Linked DNA regions of Nothobranchius furzeri. The protein of the gene in region 1 purifies or fractionates together with the protein of each later gene. This does not show direct contact. Links are inferred from orthologs where the notes say so. Each region holds a gene or a part of one and is shown on either strand. Other genes may lie near its edges. The genes, in order: rbx1, cand1 and fbxo42.

Region 1 (3,171 bases):
GCTGGAACTTCATTTAACAGCAGGTTGATCTTTTTTTTTTATTGAAACGGCTGCACTGCTAGATTGCCCCTCCCCCCTCGTATTAAGATATGAACGTTTCTACAGCCATTTAATACGTGGTTTAACCTCTGTCTGTCTCTGAACACAGCCGAACTCTCACGAGCGTTGGCATGTTTTGTTATTAATCTGTTATAAATGCAAATAAAAGGATGTCTGTCTCACCCTGTTGGAAAAATATTCACAATAAAACTATTTAAAAACATTTTGTTCCATTTTATTGGTTTTTAAATTAATCTGATTATTAAATAAACTAAATTAAATAAGCATGTGAGTTATTTCATTATTCAGGCGGTATGTGTAGTCCAGACGTTTAATCCAGCTGTGCTGCTTGTTTTGTAGCTTGAGGATTACAGCCGTGTCAGATCTCATGTCATTCCACGTGGCTGTAGATGCTCGTGACTTTCGTCCCAACACAATGTACCTCATGAACTAAACTATGAAGGTGCATGGTTGAGCATATCATGTGCACTTAATCTAGTTTTACGACTTCAATTCAAATGTGATTACATCCTCCTGAAGACTGATGGTTTTACAGTTTATTGAATTACAACATAGCAAAACATGTAAAATAACATCTAGGTATATGAGCAGGAAGCAAAATGGAAAGTGAAAGGTTGATGCTCGCAGAAGCCAAGGAACAGGTCAATATCACAACTAGTGTCCGTATCTGCGAAAGAAAAAACGAAAATGTGTTTGAGTCAAGCATCAAACAATCCTCAAAATCATATATGCATTAATGGATCCGACTCACTTCTGAAACTCCCACTCCCTGTTGTCCAGGGGACACACCTGTCTGGTCTTCAGCCAACGGGAGATACAGTGGAAATGGAAGGCATGCTATGGAAGGTAAGGAAATGTTTAAACGACTGGATAGCAGTTTAACAAAGATGCAAAGACTGAAAAATAAGTGATCTGCACTTGTAGAGTGCCTTTCAGAGTCAAATGACCCATATCTATCATCCTACTGAAAGTTGCACCTTAGAAACTCACATTGCAGACACCCCAGGCCACAGTGCACTCTTCTGAGGTTGCAGAAGCTTGGTTGGCCTGGCACTCTATGCCTGATGAAGGATGAGGAATTGTGTAAGAGGGCTGCCAACAACTCACATGCAATCAAACACCCCTATGTGAACTTACACAGATCCATGATGTGGTTCCTACAGATAGCACAATTATCCACCACTATGTCCCAGGCCCACAGTGCAACAGCATTCCACTGGAACAAAAATCACATTCTGTTCATAGGAAGGTAACTTAAAATGAAGGACCTCATACCTGGAAATAAAAACCTTAATTCTATGGCTCATTGTAGGGTCTCTGACATTCAGTACTAATTCAAAGTTATCTTACAAATAAAGTTTTTCAACCTTTGATTAAAAAATGCTTCCATGGACACCTCAATCTAGAAAAGGAGTTAATTAAAATCTGATTAATAAAATCCTTCTCTATCAGTACCGTTACTTTTAAATTATGTAATGAATAGGAGAAAAAAAACCTTGTCATCAAAACTACTTAACATTTTATCCTGAGGAAATGTGACAGTCATTTAAATACTTTAAATCTTGGGAAATTTCGAGATGTACAGCTTAGCTGACTAAGCTAATTTAGCATGTAGACTAAGAGATTAAAGAGGTATTTGTCCATTTTTAAATCGTGCTGTTATTGTGTAACTACTGAGAGTTTATCATCGCTCTTATTTCTCTACAAGTTCTAGTTTAGACTTTAAGGCCATAAACAGAATAATGATTAATTATTTCTTGTAGCAGGCTAACAGCTAAACACCGATAACGGTGTTTAGCAAGCTAGCGTTAGCTAATGTTGGGCTAAACCTTTCGGCGTTGCTGACAAAGTGCACCGTTTAGTTTAGTCAACACAGACAAACTTTCAACTATCGTACCTTTTTCACTTCAAAGCGCTTCTTGCTTGCTCCACTATTTGTACCGCTTGGCGTGTCAACATCCATTGCTGCTGCCATTTTGAACTCTCCGGAAGCGTTTATCTAAGTTTTACCGGAAAATAGCGTCACTTCCTGTTCGACCAGATTAAGCAAATTTTCGAAAGAAAATATTATTTTCTTAATAATTTTTGAAAAAACAAAATCAGGTTGTATTTCTGAATTGTTACCGTTGACACTCTTAATATTTGAAGAAGTATTGGTTAAAAGGTCAGGTTCCACCGAGATTTGAACTCGGATCGCTGGATTCAGAGTCCAGAGTGCTAACCATTACACCATGGAACCCCTGCTTATTAACATTTCTCTGTAAAGAATTTGTTAAATCAATAGCACATGTATTGCTTTTATTCATTGCTTTTACACACCCTTAATTTCTCATGCAAAAAAAAAAAAAAAAAACTTCTCATGCTGTATAGAAAGGTGTATCTATCTGAGCTACACACTGCGTCATACTCATCACACTACTGTGTACCACACACTCCCCTAGCTACAACGCTGCAAATGAGCGAGAATGGGGAGTTGACGCCCTCCAGTGGCAAAAGACCAACATAGCAGACATAACCTGTAACATAATAGAAATGCGGTTCTTTATACTGGTTGTTCTTTGTATATAATAAACTTTTAATTCAATTACTTGCAATCTGTCGTTTTATTTGATTGACCTAAATAATGCAAATAAATATATCCATCAGAGTATTAAAACACCTGCGTACTCAATCCTTTAATTTGCGCTCTCTGCTGGAGAAATCGGGTTGCTGCAGGTACTACATTCATACAACTTAAAAATTACGATTTTTAAATTGGCGTTAAAAACACAGTTAGTATAAAATCGGAAAATACACAATAAAACAATTTAACTAATGAAACTTGATAAATGTATTTCAGTTATTCGTGTTAAACAAGATTAAATCAATAGGCTAAAGAAGCTAGCTATCAGCCCCACAAACATTCGATTATACGCCCACTGGCGGCCACAGGGCAAAACTACATCTACGAGAGGACTTCATTTGCTTCCCATTTGGAAGCATGGGCATGGCTGGCTTCGCTAAGATTTAGAGGGATTTTTATTCATTTTAAAAATGTAATTCTTAATAGGTGATATGAGATACATATATTTAGGTACTAATATTTTTATCAGCATGAGTTTGTCAAATCAA
Region 2 (3,755 bases), on another chromosome or scaffold:
TTCATGCAAGACGTGGGTCAAAGCCAAGATGGCAGTGGTGGGAACTGCCACCAGGCTTCAGATCAGCTATTCAGAAACCTGTGTGTGACGTTTATTACAAAAAGTCAGTAGTTTTTGCAGCGTTAGCTCGGTGCAGACCCAGCAACTCCAGGCTCATGTATAGTAAACTACAAATACATCCCTCTTTAGATGTTTGAAAGGAGATAAACCGATAACCCCCGCCGGCTGAGAAAATAACCTCCATCTTTCAGTTCTTTTTAAAACACAGAAAAGGTTTATTTACCTCCAACGTTTCGTTTGCGGCTGCAAACATCATCAGGCTGGCACCGATGGTGGCGTCATTTCCTTCGTTTATCCGCGGGCAGCAGTTGTAAAAAGAACTGAAAGATGGAATTTGAAACTAAACACAGCAAGAACACACAAAAGAAGGAGAAAAAAATCTGTTTTAAATGTAACCTTCCTTCCAACATGAATGAGACATTAGACTGTTTTGTGATGATTTCATTGTAAATTTGTTACATATTGCTCCTTTAAAGTAGTGAAGGGATTCCACAAAAACTCAATAAAGGCACAGAAAAACTTAGCTCTATGCCAGGGCTGATGGGGAAAGATGAATCACATAATTATTTAATCAGATTAACACGCATTTAGAATGTTTTACTCATAAAAATGTTCAGTAAGTACATATTCGTGACTGTACACCTTGTGTTTAATAATGTAATAGTGATTTTTTTTGTGAATGACCCAACAGAATCAGCCTGAGCCTGGATTATCCGGGTTTATTAATTTATTAATACAATCTGATTACGGTAATCTGTGGCGCCTTCTGACAGGTGGTCTGGAGAATATTCCTCTCAAGTCGGTGCTTTTCCGTCTCTTTTTCACTTATGAGGTTAACTGTAACTAGTAATCCTGGTTGGGGTGTTTTTAAACTTGTGCGCAAAGGCGAAGCTGGCTCTACCGGGTGGATCTCCGGTATGAGGGAACAGTGACCTCAAACCCCGCAGCGTCCAGTCCCGCTCACTCCGCCCCTCTGCAGAGAACCGGAGCCCCATTCAAACTAAAGTCCGCGCCCCGGGATGCCACAGCGGCTGTAGAGGGAGATAACGGCGGCTACGGCAGCAGAAGAGGCAGAAACACACCCTTTCACCCAAAACCAGCCGCATTTGAGACGCCCAGCCGGGCTCAGTCAGCTAACAGGAGGCTAACGGCACCAACATGGCGAGCGCCTCGTACCACATCTCCAACCTGCTGGAGAAAATGACCTCCAGTGACAAAGATTTCAGGTAAATCTAACTCCAGACGGGTAGCTTTACATGTTGCTTATTAAAACAAACTCAAAGCGTTTCTTTAATAATTAGATTTAGTCAGACGCGCTGTTTTTGTGCGGATTTCAGGCATCTGTCAGGAAGGCCTCAGGCTAGCGTGCTGCTAGCGAAACAACGCTAACCTGCTGGTTAGCGGTCTGCTGAGGTTCGGGTCGGCCCGACAGCGGGTTTATACGGCATTAGCAGCTGGTTAGAGGGATAACCTGCTAGTTATAGAGAAAACCTGCTGCACATGGTGATGATCTGACACCTGAGTTGCACGGAAACGGTCGCTTGTTAGCGGCTAACCTGCTTGTAGCTGGGTAGCAGCCGCAGCGAAGCGTGCTGTTAGCGGCGCACTGGAGGATGTTTACCGAGGTAAAGTGACCAGGTGAGGGCAGGCAGGTGTCAGCTGATGGGGTTCGTGTTTAGGTGGTGCAGATGTGACTGTCTGGATGATCTTCAGCTCATCAGGATGGACGTTTGTTCACATGAATGTAGCTCAGAAGGAGCTCTAATTGGTTTCTTCCGCTCTGTTTATAAACTTCTCGGTGACTAATCAACATCGCGCGCTTTACTATGATTTGTTTGCCTTCTACAACAGAACCTTCGGTACAAACACACACAGTCAGTTACTAATTAGGAAAGAATCACCAGTGTTTATGGCACAGTACGTTTTGAACTACATTATCCAGCAATTCTGTCGTGCGCGATGCATTCTGGGTAGATGATCACGTTACATAGCAACGGGCGGAAGTGATGGTTCAGATGTGTGAACTGTACTGATGATGATCGTAAATGATGGTTCAGTCGTACTCCCCTAAACATGTGACCAGTTTAGTCACAGATGGACCTGAGAAAACCTGAGGCTGCACAGGTGTGACTCGTCCTAAAGAAGCCTGACTTGTACTCGTATGTCTGCGTGGCTTCAGAGACACTCAACGTCATGATGCATCAGCGTGAGGGCTCTCCGACAGGCTCGCAGAGGCTGGAGCCGTGACCAACTTTTCAGCTATCTGTTGAAATTGTCAGAGATTTCAAGCTTGTGATTGGTCAGGACGCTGCTTCCTTTAAATTAGTCAACAGCACCCCCATCGCCCCCTCAAAAAATAATGAGAGCTGAAGATATTTAGTGGCGAACACAGAACAGATTGAAAAACATCTCCGTCGATGCGTATGCAACTCCACACTCGAGCTGACGAAGAATTAGAAATGAGCCTTAATGCTGAAAGTCTCCCAGTGAGACGCGTGTTAGACCAGGGGTATTCAGTTCTGGGCCTGGAGGTCCAGCACATTTTAGTTTTAACTCAAAAAACCTGATTTCAATCAGCAGGTGATTAACCGGCTCCCGCAGAGCCTGATGAGCTGCTGCACAGGTAACTCAAGTGTATTGAATCAGAAAAACCACTAAAATGTGCTGGATACCAGACCTCCAGGAGCGGAGTCGAATACCCCTGCGTTAGACTATATGATGGTCTAAACCAATCAGAGGGAGTGATGGGAGGGGCCTCCACTCTGATTGGCTGGATCATAGCCAATCATGCAGATTAGGGTTATGAACGGACACATGGTTTAGGAGAGTAAAGGAAAGGTATGATTGTAATGTTTTTGTCAAGTTGAGCAGTCTGGAACCCAGCAGGAGCTCTGGCACAGAACCATCAACCTCCGAGGTTACGAGTCCTCATCAGGAGACAACATCGGATCATGAGCCACACATGAGCGGCTCTGATCTGGAGTCCCACAGCCTGTGAGCGGATCAAAGCAGGAAATGTTGACATCATCAAATTAAAAGGTGAAAATGGACAAAGCACGTAAAAAACGCGTTAAATGCTGACGTAGGTGCTCCTCCTCTTCCGCCTTTCTGCAGCACATGCAGTGTGTTGCTAGCATGATGATGGAATACAAAGATAGAAGTGAAGATTTAGTTTAAAGTTTCACTCGCGTAATACATTTTCAGTGGTCTCTAGTAGGAATGAATGCCTTGTAAGTTGTACTCTTGAGGAAACAAAGCTCTAGTGCGCCTGTTTCAGGAACTAGAAGTGAGCCACATCTGAGCTGAGCTTCTGATGGCAGGATTTGGAGTCCTATTTCCTGATATTTAGGCATCTCTCCTCTGATTGGCTAAAGCTAGGCGTACAGTGTATGACTTTTTCACTTTTGTGAGCCGGTTTTCCCCTCGTACGAGAATCTAGAAGGTCGGGGCGAGTTTTGTGCTGAGCATCGTGTAGTATACAGGAGGCTACGAGAGGCGATTAACACCACATGACCAGGTACCTACCGGTCAGCAGTCGTACACTCAGACACATTTCTGGCATATTGCATATTTAACTCGTCCCTCGTGAGGGTATCGGACTGTTAAAGCGGCACTGCGACCCAAAAAGTACCAGAACCGCTCACGGCACATGCGTGAACATGCATCAACACGGCTCACCAGCTATGTCCTTATTA
Region 3 (3,755 bases), on another chromosome or scaffold:
CGCGTCCATCCCCCAAACAAAACTAACAGATCTTTGTGCATCACTAGAGTCGCTCCAGCTTTAGGAGAAGGATAGGAGCCTGGAAGATCATTTTCAAAATAAAGAAATCAAATTTAATACACTCAAACAAGGCTCAGAGTTCCTGTTTGGTTCTGGTTTTCACTAAAATGTTTCTCACCTGAGGCTAAAGGACGGATCCACTCCTTGCTGTTGAGGTCAAGTCTCCATAGATCATTGAAGGCAGCGTTGCAGCTACTCTGAGTGCAACCCCCAAACACATACATGGACTGGTTCGAGTCGTAATAGCACGCACCTGCAACATTCCCCCAAAACAAGAAGACGTGCACAGATCAGATGTAAACACAGAATCGATGCAGAATAATGTCGTGCACATTAACAGCAGAGTTGTAAAAGGTGTTTTGTCATCTATGCCGTTATGATCAGCTAAACTTTAGTTTCCAAGATTGCTTTCTGGCGTTGGTCTCTGGTAGGAAGGAAATATTATAAGTCATTCTCCGGGGGGGGGGGGGGGGGGGGGGGAGGCTCAGTTGCGCCGTGAGGACGTAATATTCAGCTGGAGAAGAAAGTGGCAGCAGGTTTGATTTTAATTTCCTGATATTCGGGACATCTTGCCTCTGATTGGCTAACAGCAACTCTGCAACACTGATGTTTATTCTCAACAAATAACACAAACATGATCCTCTGCCATGAGGGGGAGTCGCTAACGCTAACGGTTAGCTTCTAATAGCCGAGACGTTCTCTACTGGTTCCTGGACGCTAAACCAACAACAGTCTTCCTCACTGTGGGCCAAGATGGCCGAGTCCATGAATGTGAAGTGACAGTGTGACGTAGATCTGTCAGATTTTTTTGAACAGAGTGTTTTTCTGCCTATTTTCTATCAGAAGCTAATGCAGGATGTAGAGGTGGAAGGCTATTTTTATGTTCAGCCTCCGTGCAAAACTCAAGCGTGACTGATCACTTTAAAAAAATAATGACTGAAAAGCGATTTCTCAGTGAACCTGCTCTTTAATATATAGATCCCTTTGCAGTGTTTAAGTGTGTTGAGTTGTCAATTAGACAAGAAAAGTACAATAACAAGTTATTTTCAATTTAAAGAAATCCAGATGTCACAAAGGTTTGGCGTGTTTCAGTGTAAGATGCAAATAAGAATGTACTGACTGTGTGAGAAGCGCTGAGTGATCGGGGTTCCAGGATATGGGTATGTCCGACTTTCCCACTGGATATTTCCCTCTTGAACAGCTCTCAAGAAACCATGGTAACATTGATAAGCTACACCTAAATTAGAGAAAATGGAAGTAAGAAAAAAAATGCAAGAACAACACATCAACAGACGGTGGTACAAACAGTGCAAAAGCAAATGGGATGGTCCTACCTTTAATGAGACGATACCACTGCTTACACACTAACGCAGCGGTCTTGTGCTCCTGGTAAGGTGAGAGGAAGGATAAAATATATTCTAGAACTTCCTCTGGCAACTCAACCATTGTTCTCCCTTTATCTTTGGCACAGCTGTCCACGTCCCCTTCTTGTCTACAGGACCCCATCTTTGTCTCCTCTTCTTCTGTTATCCCAGCAGTCTCTGTACCATCATCCTCTGTATCCATGGCAACAAAGTATCCATTTTCATTGTCAGGGGATAGGGACATTATTGTCTGTTGAGACATGTGTTTTGAGCAGAGTTAATGAGCGAGTTCGGCTTCAGCTTCATCCGAATGTGTTACCTATTGAAATTTATGTTTACACTTGCTTATCCGTGATTTGTCCACCACTTCCTTACTGTGCTTCTTTCAACTGAATCTACAAGAGGATGAAAACTTACATAAAACAGAAGGAGCAGCTGCTAATGATGGTGCAAGGTTGTGATCAACATTTAGTGCCATTTTAGCCCACGGCACGAATAAATAATCCATCAACTGTTTGAAATCGATGGTGTTCTTTCTTTAGACCGTGAAGCTGGCCTTTCCACTAAGCACATCCCAGTTATTACATTAGCCTTGTCTAGCTAGCCACTTTTACCAATCACATAACAAAATGAACCATTGTATTGATTATGCTAAATGATTTCTAAAACTATCTAAACAACGGAGCAGTAAAAATCTATTACATTTGCTCAAAATGTCACAAAACATTTATTTGAGTCGTTTGGTTCAGGTTTAAAAATTTAACGCTTCTCAGAGAGTATTAGCATTAGCTAACACTGCCTTCCTACATCCCTGCTAACGGCTGCAAACAGAATTCAATCTTTACCAAGCGACATACAACTTTAGATTAAAATCTCCCCTTTAGTACATTCGAACTGACAAGCGATATATACATATATATATTTAGTCGTTTTAGTCTTGTCGATGTGACATACTCAAGCTTACAGCTAACAGCAGCTAGCATAGCATTTTAGAAGCTAAGGGGCTAGCTGATTTCTGTGGTCCTTCCTTCTCAATGATCTGTTCGCCCGTGTGTACGTCTGTGAGTGTTGCCCTAACATGACAGTGTTCCTCCCTAAAATGTTGACAATTACACTGAATAGCAACATAGGCTTAGTAGGTACCGTAGTTTCAGGTGTGTTATTTGCAGAGCTGTCTGTGTGTATTTTCCTCTCCTCCCTCCCTATATCAGCTCCGATGACTCCTCTGCAGCTTCCACGCAATCGCCATCTTCCGCTCGAAGAGCCGCTTGCTCCCTCTTCAGAGCTCCACTCCAGCAGGCTCCGTCCAGCTGAGGTTCCAGTAGGGTGGGTCGCCGGGTGCAGGAACTGCGCCCCCAGCTGCCTAGGATCATCTCCACAGTTGGAGATCCTGGCACCTTTGAACGCTCCTATACAGATTATAAACTTCTGACTTACATTTTCAAGATACGTCTTCAATCTGGAATTTCAGATATTGTTTCGGAAACACAGTCAGGATTTTTAAAAGGAAGATCTATTCACAACAATATAAGATTGGTAATGGATATTATTGAATACAGTGATATGATAAATGATGACGGTTTCATATTATTTTTAGATTTCTATAAAGCATTCGATTCAGTGGAACACCAATTTATCTTCTCAGTTCTAGAACATCTTGGCTTTGGAGTTAAGTTTACTAATCTAATCAGAGGTTTGTATCGGAATATTAGCAGCTGTGTTTCGTTACCCAGAGGTTCCACCCCCAGGTTCAATGTCTCTGTGGGCATACCACAAGGCTGCCCAATTTCTCCTTGCCTTTTCATATTAGTTAGTGAAATGTTAGCAATCTACTTAAAAAACTGTGTGGATCTAAAAAAGTTAAATGTCCTTGGCACAGAGTTGATCATAAGTCAATTAGCGGATGATACCATGCTTTTCTTAAAAGATTATAAACAAATTCCTATTGCTATTGATAAAATCAAGCTATTCTCTGCAGCATGTGGACTTAAGCTAAATTTGAAAAAATGTGAACTATTGGCTATTCATGACTCCCCTCTAAAAGAAATTTGTAACATTCCCATCAAATCTGAAATTAAATATAGGAACATATATTTCTAAAGACCAACAATTTAACCTAAGGACAAACATAACAAATAAACTTAATGAAATTAAAGCCAAACTAAATATTTGGCTTCAGAGGGATCTCTCCATATTAGGGCGCATTTATTTAACCAAAATGGAGAGTATATCTCGATTAGTTTATCCAACCTGCAGTACTGCAATTTCAAACAACCTAATTAAAAAGATTAACACCATCAATTTTAACTTCATTTGGAGAAATAAGCCACA

Evidence for each region.
Region 2: the proteins of rbx1 (region 1) and cand1 purify together in Homo sapiens (affinity purification with western blotting; 6 studies listed by BioGRID and IntAct, with this or other methods). This does not show direct contact. The link is inferred for Nothobranchius furzeri from reciprocal best matches to the Homo sapiens genes RBX1 and CAND1.
Region 3: the proteins of rbx1 (region 1) and fbxo42 purify together in Homo sapiens (affinity purification with mass spectrometry; 4 studies listed by BioGRID and IntAct, with this or other methods). This does not show direct contact. The link is inferred for Nothobranchius furzeri from reciprocal best matches to the Homo sapiens genes RBX1 and FBXO42.

The regions. Positions count from the first base shown.
Region 1 is NC_091752.1:65,786,398-65,789,568, forward strand, and holds rbx1 (E3 ubiquitin-protein ligase RBX1), read right to left. Parts: upstream 2,094-3,171; 5' UTR 2,036-2,093; coding exon 1,958-2,035; intron 1,277-1,957; coding exon 1,198-1,276; intron 1,122-1,197; coding exon 1,051-1,121; intron 898-1,050; coding exon 812-897; intron 728-811; coding exon 715-727; 3' UTR 582-714; downstream 1-581. UniProt on the Homo sapiens protein: E3 ubiquitin ligase component of multiple cullin-RING-based E3 ubiquitin-protein ligase (CRLs) complexes which mediate the ubiquitination and subsequent proteasomal degradation of target proteins, including proteins involved in cell cycle progression, signal transduction, transcription and transcription-coupled nucleotide excision repair.
Region 2 is NC_091741.1:34,342,758-34,346,512, forward strand, and holds the start of cand1 (cullin-associated NEDD8-dissociated protein 1), read left to right. Parts: upstream 1-998; 5' UTR 999-1,218; coding exon 1,219-1,286; intron 1,287-3,755. UniProt on the Homo sapiens protein: Key assembly factor of SCF (SKP1-CUL1-F-box protein) E3 ubiquitin ligase complexes that promotes the exchange of the substrate-recognition F-box subunit in SCF complexes, thereby playing a key role in the cellular repertoire of SCF complexes.
Region 3 is NC_091743.1:45,889,703-45,893,457, forward strand, and holds the start of fbxo42 (F-box only protein 42), read right to left. Parts: upstream 2,790-3,755; 5' UTR 2,568-2,789; intron 1,820-2,567; exon of another isoform or gene 1,764-1,819; intron 1,675-1,763; 5' UTR 1,669-1,674; coding exon 1,395-1,668; intron 1,298-1,394; coding exon 1,181-1,297; intron 314-1,180; coding exon 179-313; intron 80-178; coding exon 1-79. UniProt on the Homo sapiens protein: Substrate-recognition component of some SCF (SKP1-CUL1-F-box protein)-type E3 ubiquitin ligase complex. Specifically recognizes p53/TP53, promoting its ubiquitination and degradation.